3 linked regions of the Neurospora crassa OR74A genome follow. The main gene of each other region encodes a partner of the protein of the gene in region 2 in a complex. Links are inferred from orthologs where the notes say so. Each region holds a gene or a part of one and is shown on either strand. Other genes may lie near its edges.

Region 1 (3,606 bases), on a different chromosome or scaffold from region 2:
TATCCCCGAGTTCATGCTCCAGGGTGGTGACTTCACCCGTGGTAACGTAAGTCCATGTCCGCCCAACAAGCTATCGAACATGGGAAAATAAAGACCTAACCTCTCTGAACAGGGCACTGGTGGCAAGTCCATCTACGGCGAGAAGTTCGCCGATGAGAACTTCGCCAAGAAGCACGTCCGCCCTGGTCTTCTCTCCATGGCCAACGCCGGCCCCAACACCAACGGCTCCCAGTTCTTCGTCACCACTGTCCCCACCAGCTGGCTCGATGGCCGCCACGTCGTCTTCGGCGAGGTCGCTGACGATGAGTCCATGAAGGTCGTCAAGGCCCTTGAGGCTACTGGCTCCAGCAGCGGTGCTATTCGTTACTCCAAGAAGCCCACCATTGTCGACTGCGGCGCTCTCTAAATTCCCTTGTGGACATTGTCGAGGGTTTTAGGGATTGGAGTCGCGGTACCATAATATTCATATGAATGTGCTGCTATAATATCTAGATAGCCCATCAAAATGGATTTCCTGCGCTGCACACCCACCCTTCTTCACTGCATCGTCATCACTGTCGCTTTGATGGTTGATGTGATTACGCAAACTGATGGTTGATGAGATCACGTAAACTGATGTCTTTTCCTAGACAGTTTGCAGGTCATGTGAATGTTATCGCCAACACATTGAATGCTAAACAGATTACCTCCAACGCCTAGATGAAACCAAATTACCCTTGCCTTCTTTTTTTTTACGCCGTTAATGCAGTTGTGATAGAGACCATGCAACGTCTTCTAAACGGAGACACAAACACATTCGAGTCGATCAGATCGAAATGACTTGTTCCTGTACCTCGTCACCATCCAGCCACCGTCTGAAATAGACGCAGTTGCTGGGGCTGACAGGTCCGCCTTCCTCGCACATATCATAGACAGGGCACCGCCCACAAGGCGCCTCCATAAGGCCACTTGCACTCGGCTCAACTCCCATAAATGAGGTAACAATGCCTCCTTTGGTTGGATCATGGTCGAGGCGTCGTTGATTGCACGTCCTCGGATCCTGTTTGGGGATGCGCGTCACACGGTACCCCTTGCGCCCATTGACCTTGACAGGCTCTACTAAGCCATCGTAGTATAGCACATCCACCAACTGCTGGATATCCGCCTCGCTCAACGTCGTATTATTCGTGATGCCGGCGTGGTGGATGAACTTTGCAATGTCCGACACAGTCGGGTACGACTTGTAACCGGCCGGGAGAGGCAGCAATTGCGGCTTGCCGGGCCTGGTCTTCTTGGCCGGTGCCGGTGCCGCCGTGTCGTCGTTGGAAATCTCGCCCGCGCTGCGCTTCGTCCCCTTGGAAATATCCTCCGAGTGGGGAATGGTCCCCTGAACCACGCCCTTCTTGGGATTCTTTTCACGCTGCTGTGCTCCTCCTCCTTGTGCTCCTACTCCTGGTACTCCAGCACCGCCGCCGTGGGAAGTATATGTCGATTTCTGCTTGATAAAGTCAAACACAATTTCCTGTAGCTCGTTGATGAAGGCCGTGTCGAGCTCGCCCTCAGTAAACCAGGGGCCACCTGTGGCGCGATCGGAGGGACGTAGGTTCGCCTTGATGTACATCTTCTTGTTGGGGTGCTCGACGTTCTTCATGCTGGCGATGTAGCCCTTTTGCTCGAGATACTTGATGCAATGCTTCATAAGCGAGTCGGCCATGTTGAGCTTGTTCTTGATGGTCCGGTTCCAGATGCCGTCGGCCCCGGCTTCGTCGACCATGGCGTATACCATCATTATTTCGGAGTTGGGGAGGGAGGTGTACCTTTTGGGAGGAAGGGGAGGTTAGTTGGTGTGCTCGGTTGTGTCCTAAAAAGAAAAAAGAAAGGTAGTAACGCACTTCTTTGCATCCTCCCGGCTTCGCCATCTCCACGACAGCCCCGATGCCGTGGTGTTGCCGACAAAGAGCTTCTCATCGCAGAGAATTTGGATCACCTGCATGAGCAACCCGATATTGTCTTGGGGGATGACCTGCATGTCCAACAGGTCCCGCTGCGTGAAGAGACGCTGATCGGAACCGTGGTCCCTCGCCGCCTCGTAAAGCGCATCCTTGAGGATCTGGATCTTGTCGCGGTCGGCCATCGTGTGCTGGTGGTGATTAGGAATTTCGTGTGGTGGTTCTGGTGACCGAGACGCAACAATTTGGAAGAAAAAAAGGGACTCGTGACGGGACAAAGACAATGCCCTGGCTGGTTGTGAGCGTCAATGCCCAGTCTGAAATGGGTCTGTTGATTGGATTTAGAGAAGGTGTGGCGTATGGCCAACTGCAGGTCGGTTTGCCAAACCGAGTTGCACTGGTCGATCACGAAATTTCCCAGAAGAAATGCCCCGCCTTTCTCAGCCTTGCATGAAAGAGCAGAATAAAGCGTTTTGTGATTGGTCACTCATGTTATGCCAAGACGGTGACTTCTGCTCAGAGTTCCAGGAAGTTGATTCGTCAGATGTCCTCTTCCCGATAAGTAAAGAGTCATGATCAACATGAAGTAAAACTGCGAGCATTGATGAGCCAAGTCTTGTATTTCTATATCAAATTGTCAAAGTAAATATTCCCTGACTTCTTACGCGTGACGGAATCCGAAGTGTTGCATAATCCACGGAATGCTCGATGTAAGCGTCCTCTTCAGTGGAGCACGTTCCACTTTCTGATCAGCCTTGCGGGACCACGCAGGCCATCCCAGTTTCGCAGGTCTTCTGCAACCTTATCATTTTTCTCATCCTTCAACCTTCCAACCGCCAATTTTCTTTGACAAAGCAACTCTCGCGGATCGAGTCACCACACTACATCGTGTACACGTCATCTAGCTCACCCATTGTCTCCTGCTTGATTTCCCTTTTCCCCCCACCCTAAATCTATCTGCTCATCAAATTCCTTCTGCGAAACTCAACGTGCAACCCGAAGGATATCGATGCCCACAATGGACGATAAATGCATTGACTGAAGGAACTCCTTGCCGCAGTGTATCCCATGATCCAACCACCGACAATCTGGGCTTGACTACCTCTTCATCTTCTTACAACTTTCGCTCATCACAGGATGATACGCCAGGTTGCTTGACGGTGCCTGATTCTCGCACCAAAGGGAATCAACACTGCCATACCTCCGCCCACTATGAGCGCAAATACGCCTGCCGTTGTTCCGAAAGCCTCAACATAACCCACCATCTGGACCCAGATCAAGACCGACGCCGCGAAGAAGAAGCTTACAATATGCTTTGTTCCTATTGACATCGTGCCGTGATTAGCAAGGTTACTCAACCAGGAGGGACTCATGCTGCTTCTTACCATTGACAAGCATAAGAGCATCCGAGTTTAGTGGAAGCAGACAGTCCGAGACATAGGCCATGGTGATGGTCGGCACCGCCGTCAATGCTACCGACATCATACCATATCCAAAGAACAGGCTGACCCAGCCCATTGCCTTTTCAATGCCATATCCGAACACCAAGCAGCCCGAGCCGCTGATGATCAGAGGTACGATGCAGAGCCACAGTCGATTCTCTGGTTCGTAAACGCCATTGTTGCGCCTGGTCTTCCAGTCGCAAAACTTGTCAACCGCCCAGCCGCCCAATACGCTG
Region 2 (3,786 bases):
GTCCGTAGTTGGAACTTGATCCTGTTGAGCTTGGATGTGAAATCTCCAATGCTTGACTTGGAAAATGTTCCACCAACACCGATGGCTTTGCCAGATGCTTTAAGGTGACTGAGTGTCCGTATGGACCCCGGACTGTTCATGCACTCGGCCTCAACTTTATGAGTGTCTCCCCTTTCTCAAACCAGGCTATTTTCTGGTTGGTTAGTGTTAGAAGCCGTTTTGCAAACTCTATCGGGTTTAGACATACCAGCTTCGTGAGCGAATTCGCGCAAACCCGGAGGGTAATTTTTGAATAACGGGTTGGTCCTCGATTCATGAGACGGTAAAAGGCAATGAGAGTCTCACTTGCACGAGACTTGGATTCGTCTTATCGACGGGGTCTTTTGGGGGGGGGGGGGGGGGGGGGGTGCCCGCATGGAGTTTCTCCAAAAAAAAATATTGTGGGGACATATGTCTTGGCAGAGACTTTTCTGGTATCCCCCGTCCCGTCCTGTCGGCAGGCAACAGGGCTTCTGTTTTGTTGATAACAAGTCCGCTCTCCTGTGTGAGCTAACAAGATCACTCGAAAAGAACGACTGTGCTAACCGCATCTCGCCGGTAACTGTCGAGTAAAGTCACTTCTTTCGAATATATACTTTATTTTTTTTTCTTTTTTTTCACCCCCATTTTTCACGAGCCTGCATTTTGTTTGTCATGGATTCACAAACGATCACGATACTGTTCGTTGGCGATGAGAGATGCGGAAAGTCAACCTTGTTATCGTTAGTGATAATCCTGAATGATACAGCTATATACTGCATCTAATCCTACATGTGCCCACCAAGCCGAACAGAAGACAAGACAAGCCAATTCACTAACACCCATCCAGGCGAATCAGCAGAGGCCGTCACAACCTGAAAGGCAGAGATTCCATTACCCTTCTCAGGGACCTCGACCAGCCTTTCATCTTTGATATTCGCGCTCGCCGCGGGGACTATCGGCTCGAATTCTACGACACTTCCAGTCCAGAAAGCTGGAGACTTCTTCGGCCCGACCTAGTCATCCTCTGCTATGATATCAGCCAGAGGCTCAGTTTGATCAACCTCCAAAGAGTGGTAAGCGCCGGTTCTAACCAGGGTGAACCGCATCCTTCAACAAACTGATATATTGCGCAGTGGAACAAAGAGGTCCGGACAGCGGGCGTAACCGGCGACAACACCCCGGTGCTTATGCTGGGCCTCAAGCGGGATCTGCGATCTGAGAATGATCCCAACGGTACCATCTACCCGCAGGAGGCGTATCGCATGGCGCAAGAGATGAGGTTAGACAAGTACATGGAATGCTCTGCGGTGACTGGCGAGCTGCTGGAAGAGGTGTTCGACGATATATGTACAACGGCGCTGAAAACGACAACTTCCGAGGGCGGGCAAAGCGAAGGAGGATGCACAATCATGTGAGTTGTCCAAAGCTGTCGTCATGTCCACGTCTTCAAGAGTTTTCAATGGAGGGTGCTGCGTCCTCGTCGTTCTCTTCTCCCTCCGCAGCCTCTGTGGGTTCGTCAAAGCCGAGAGTCTCGGTGATGATATCGATGATCTTTTGCTGCTCGTCCTCAGTAAAGCGCTCCAACATGTCTTCAACGACCGTGCTAAGAACTGCAACATTGGTGGGCCGAAGGTTGATGATCATGAGCATCTCGCCTTTCGAGAGATCGCTCTGGAGGTTAGCCTCACGAAGCTTCTTGAAGAGCTCATACAACGCTTCCGTGCTGTACTGATGGGTCTTGTCCTGGTTTGCCAATGGGCCAGGCTTGGTTCGGAGATAGGTCAAGAGCTGCTGTAGGTTAGTTTGGGCATGTTCACATTCGTCATGATGGCAGGCTTGCTTACATCCTTGGTGAGAGTAAATTGGTTGGGAGGCACTCTCCTGTTTTTGGACCTGTTCTTTTGCTGTTGCTCCAGAATATGCTCATAGACCTCATGGTTTGAGACCAGGTTGCTTTGGCCTTCAAGGATCTTCATTGTGTCGACTTGGGTTGGCTTGTTGCCTGAGTGAGAAGCGAAGTCTTGCGCCGACTGCTTGCTGGTGACCACCTGTAGCCTAGGCGAATGCGAATGCGACTGCTTTCGGGAAAGCGTAAGCGTGTTTGGCTACTCGTTTGTTTGGTGTCAAAAATGACAACACAAGTGGTGTTCTTGGAGCAGTGTTCTAGACTTGGCGATCTGGTAATATGACGATAAAAAACAAAGGTTTGGTGGAGGAGAAGGCCTTTGAGATGGTCCGTCCGTCGCGGTGAATGGTCAGTGGCCAGTGATATGTTCCATTTTACAAGCGGTTGCACTTGCAGTTCCTGCCACATTGGACTCCCGTCCACTCGTGCCCCGCCATTGTAACGAAGTCAAGAAGTTGCGAACGGACCGCAGCAGCCGCATTCTCAGGACATTGAGCGTTCCTGTCCAATCATTTACAACGCAGTTTGCACTTTGCCCCACCTGGAGCGTCGAGCCGTCGCTGCAGCCAGATTCCTCCAATTGCACATGCCCGGAAAAAAAAAAAAAAAAATCTCGCACGCGGCACGGGTTCGGTGCGGTGACGGAGTCCCAAACACAGAGAGAGACGGGAGCCATTTGGGCAAAGTCCTGAAACAGTCATGAGTGTTTGACAACGAGGCACGTCTTCACTTCTCTGTTCGCAACCTAGTCCAAAAGTGAGGAAATCAGCGAGGCAGAGAGGACGAAGATGGGATTATGAACTTCAAGCAAGCGTGGGGAGCAATGGTACATCCATGATCAACATCACACCTAATCCAGAAAACCCGTTTTTTCCCCCAATGTCAATGGAAGGTTCCGTTCTCGTCGTTGTTGTGTGTCTGGTTTTTGACCGCGATCCCTCCGCGACAGTGCAGTAGTGCCAGCGGAGGTGAGGGACGCTCTTCCTTGTGACTTCCTTGCTTGACAACCTGGCCCAGGCCTTCATTCCACTGCTGCCACCACCGCACACGCCAACGCCAACCAGGTGAGCCTGTTTGGGTGGCACTAACACCAAGTACATACACTTACTATGTCGCTGCTTTGACGACCGACCTCGCTCCAAGCAGACCCTTGTTAATCAACTGGTTTCTCAAACTCCCACATTACTCGGAATCATCTCGCAGTGATGATCGCCTCTTTCTCCCTCGCTTTGCTCTCCCACTATCTCCTCTTTTATTTCTTCTCTAGACTCTAGACTCTATACATAACGTTTGGGTCCTCGCATCCTCTGCCTCGTCGCAACTTGTGCTGCTAAAGTCTGGCCCAGTTAGACCATCGCCCATCGACTCGGAACGGATTCTTATTCGCCTATCGCTCGGCTCTCAAATCGGTCTTGAAAAAAAAATATACCGGCGCAAATTCTTCTTCCCAGACCCGGGAGGAAACAGCCGAGCACGATCCTTCGAAGCCCAGCACGACCTGGCACTCTGAGGAGTCAGCTTGCCCATTGCCTTACGGCTAGTGGCGCTTAAGAGCCTCGCATTACCCAACGCTATCGTGGCCCTGCTTTCATTTCTTTCCGGGCTTGTCCCCTCCGGCCTTCCAGCGACCACCACCGACGCCGCCGCCGCCGTCCTCTCAGACGCCACCTCCTTCGTCTCGATCCCTCCTCCGCCCTCGTCTCTTTGCACGTGCGATCCTGACGGGTCGCCAGATCAAGACTGCAAGATGGTCCGTAACATTGTCGTCCTCGGCGGTAACTCCCACCCCGAATTGGTGGAGAGCATCTGCGGTATTCTTGGCCTGCCCGCCTGCAGCAGGATCCTGACCAAGTTCTCCT
Region 3 (2,751 bases), on a different chromosome or scaffold from region 2:
CGTTGAGGCTTTCGTCCAACACAAACGACCATTTAAGAGCAGCCACTGCTCACGTCTACTTGTACTGCCCATCGCATTCACTTGACAAAGAGGCGCAAACATCTAGACACGTTCCTAGGTATCCAGCTCATTCACAGATTGGAACACTGTAACAAACACTCATTTTTTACGTCATGGCATCCGATCCCATGTCAGTAAACAGTTCAGCAAGGGAGCCACCTGCGCCTCCGGGATCAGGGGCAGACGAGCCCAAGTATGGAGGATATACACGGTTCGAACTCGAACTGGAGGTAGGCTTCATACACATTATCATCCAGCGTGCGTGGTATTAACAGAACACTCAGTTTGTTCAAGCACTTGGCAACCCGCTGTACCTGAACCATCTTGCGTCCAGGAAGCTACTCAGCAATCCTGCTTTCATCGCCTACCTCGACTATCTCCAGTACTGGAGCCGCCCACCTTACCTCAAGTATATCACCTACCCTGGGCCTACCTTGAAGAACCTGGAGTTGCTGCAGCAGGAAAAGTTCAGGCAGGACATCATCAGCCCAGACCTGGTCGAGCGTCTCAGGCTAGAGGGCATGAAGGCCGGAATCGACTGGCATCGAGAGAGTTTTCCAAGCACGGCATAAGTTGCACGGGTAGAATGATGCCAGGGATGGAAACGAGTGGGAAGTAGCCTCTGGCAGGCCAGTACCGCACAAGTTGATTCTGATGAAGAATACCTCACATGCAACTACACAAAAACAAAAGAAAAACCCAACGCCAAGCAATGCCCCCAATACCATGTATTGATGATCCGACCAGACCTGTGCTGAACATGTCTTCTTCCTCTAGTTGTTGTCTCTCCACCTGTGCCCGCAAGTCATACACTACGAGACATGTTAGCTTCTTACTTTATCCCATCAGTCTGCAATCCCCTTCTTACCTTGTAGAACGTCGTCATCGGTTCATCAGCACTACGAATTTGAACCTGGAAGAAGGCTGCCTCGTTGCCATTGCAAGTTCCGCTGTCACACTGGACCTTGCCTTTTTGTGCATTGTCCCAAGCGCCTGGACCACCAAACACGTCTTCCTTCTCCTTGCGCGGGAAGTTCTTGCGGGAGTAGATGGGCTTGTCGATGGGGTGTTCGTAAGGACAGGTTCTGCACTCGAGCCTGTTGCCACCCGTGTCCGCTCGGGAGAGGATGAGGAGGTTGGCGCAGAATGGGCAAACTGTGGTGGGCGTTTAGTTCCGGTGTCCTAGCCTTTGTGGGTGGACTTGGACTTACAGACGATAGGCATGTTTGCTATTGATGAAGGGACTGGATTTGTTTGTTGTGTGTTATCGTCCGTTATGAATAGCAAGTGAGATGAGTCGAGCGGTTGCCAAAAGTCTTGTTGACGATCCTGATGAGAAGAGGCGTCGCCGTAAGCTGGTACCTTTTGTGAAAACAGCTGGCCAAGACCGGTGTTTATGTCTACCACTTGCTGGGCTTTAAGGTAGTGATATAAGTTGTTAGAGTGTAAATAGTCAGTGTAGGGGCGATGGCCTGAAAAAAAGTGTTATAGCTCGATGCGGTCCGTTAATTCTATAAACCTTAAATGTAGCGCTTGAATTTTCATTGGTCAGATCTGCATCATCAACTGTCCCACACTTGGTCAGCGGTGCCTGGACCCAACGGCCCTTTCTGTTGTGCCTGTGCTAAGGTAGGTACGTACCTACTCACTGACATGCAGCTGGGCCTCAGCGCATGCCATCTGAATGCCAGCGTCCTGATCGGGCCCCGCAAGGAGCCGACCATTCTGTAACACCAAGGGAAGACGACACTGCCACTGCCACCTCCTAACCAGCCCGTTAGGTAGAGGTACGGAATGCTTCCATCCCGTCCTTCATACAACCACCACCACCACCACGACTGGAGATATCTCATAGAATACAGTACACTGTACCCTACAAACAGTCGTTCGCCGCCCTCTTATTACCCCGAAGATCCCTCATTGAGCGTTACGCGATCCCGATCCTTTTATAGGAATCGACCGATTACCTGATTCGACAGCCTGGCCACTTCCATACCGTACATCCACTCTCCCCCGCCGACCCATTTCCACGATTCCCGCTCGTAATTAGCAATTCCAGGCCAATCTTACCTCTCTACTTTGGACAACTCTCGCCGTCATCCCTCTTCGCTTTCACCGTCGTTTTCGCTACTTGTGCTTCTTCCTACAACCAAGAAACATCACCCGCCGTTTCCGAGACAACCACAAGTGACCTACCAGTAACCATGGCCGGAAAGGACGAAGAACACGAGGTTCGTACCACACAAGCGTCCTCTACCCCCAACTAACACCCTCTCTCTTCTATCCCCCGTTTCACCCGCCCTACGCCCTCTCGCGCAAACAGCTATACTACAGACAACCCCAGCTAACCCTTCCTTCTTTCACCCCCCAAAATACAGGGTGCCTCCATCTCCGAGCAGCTCATTGAAGCTTGCCGGCGTAACAACACTGACCTCCTCTCGGAAATTCTCGCCGACAAATCCGACGAAGAAATCTCCTCCCTCTTGAACAACACGACCACCGTGATGGGCAACCACCTCTACCACGAAGCCGCGCTCCGTGGCAACTACGAGATAATCGACATGCTCCTCGACCAACCAGGCTTTGAATGCGATCCCGTCAACCGACTCGAGGGCGACACCCCGCTGCACAGCGCAGTCCGATGGATCAACAGCGAGCCGGAAGCGCAGCGCGAGTTCGGCAACGAGCTGG

The links.
Region 1: NCU01785 (region 2) and NCU00727 share a complex: the UniProt entries of both Schizosaccharomyces pombe proteins name them as parts of the RNA polymerase III (Pol III) complex. The link is inferred for Neurospora crassa OR74A from reciprocal best matches to the Schizosaccharomyces pombe genes rpc17 and rpc34.
Region 3: NCU01785 (region 2) and NCU00570 share a complex: the UniProt entries of both Schizosaccharomyces pombe proteins name them as parts of the RNA polymerase III (Pol III) complex. The link is inferred for Neurospora crassa OR74A from reciprocal best matches to the Schizosaccharomyces pombe genes rpc17 and rpc11.

The regions. Positions count from the first base shown.
Region 1 is NC_026501.1:7,401,030-7,404,635, reverse strand, and holds NCU00727 (hypothetical protein), read right to left. Parts: upstream 2,307-3,606; 5' UTR 2,114-2,306; coding exon 1,872-2,113; intron 1,797-1,871; coding exon 806-1,796; 3' UTR 597-805; downstream 1-596. Other genes in the region: csr-1 (peptidyl-prolyl cis-trans isomerase), read left to right, coding at 1-46, 113-406; NCU00728 (hypothetical protein), read right to left, coding at 3,279-3,606. UniProt on the Schizosaccharomyces pombe protein: DNA-dependent RNA polymerase catalyzes the transcription of DNA into RNA using the four ribonucleoside triphosphates as substrates. Specific peripheric component of RNA polymerase III which synthesizes small RNAs, such as 5S rRNA and tRNAs.
Region 2 is NC_026502.1:2,446,658-2,450,443, reverse strand, and holds NCU01785 (hypothetical protein), read right to left. Parts: upstream 2,349-3,786; 5' UTR 1,998-2,348; coding exon 1,866-1,997; intron 1,810-1,865; coding exon 1,468-1,809; 3' UTR 1,437-1,467; coding exon of another isoform or gene 1,155-1,436; 3' UTR 1,095-1,154; coding exon of another isoform or gene 869-1,094; 3' UTR 762-868; coding exon of another isoform or gene 694-761; 3' UTR 554-693; downstream 1-553. Other genes in the region: NCU01784 (pseudouridylate synthase 3), read right to left, coding at 1-140; NCU16559 (hypothetical protein), read left to right, coding at 694-761, 869-1,094, 1,155-1,436; NCU01786 (ribose-phosphate pyrophosphokinase II), read left to right, coding at 3,675-3,786. UniProt on the Schizosaccharomyces pombe protein: DNA-dependent RNA polymerase catalyzes the transcription of DNA into RNA using the four ribonucleoside triphosphates as substrates. Specific peripheric component of RNA polymerase III which synthesizes small RNAs, such as 5S rRNA and tRNAs.
Region 3 is NC_026501.1:7,970,183-7,972,933, reverse strand, and holds NCU00570 (DNA-directed RNA polymerase III polypeptide), read right to left. Parts: upstream 1,524-2,751; 5' UTR 1,285-1,523; coding exon 1,272-1,284; intron 1,216-1,271; coding exon 929-1,215; exon of another isoform or gene 873-928; coding exon 834-872; 3' UTR 653-833; downstream 1-652. Other genes in the region: NCU00569 (SOH1 family protein), read left to right, coding at 174-290, 345-632; NCU00571 (hypothetical protein), read left to right, coding at 2,265-2,291, 2,439-2,751. UniProt on the Schizosaccharomyces pombe protein: DNA-dependent RNA polymerase catalyzes the transcription of DNA into RNA using the four ribonucleoside triphosphates as substrates. Component of RNA polymerase III which synthesizes small RNAs, such as 5S rRNA and tRNAs.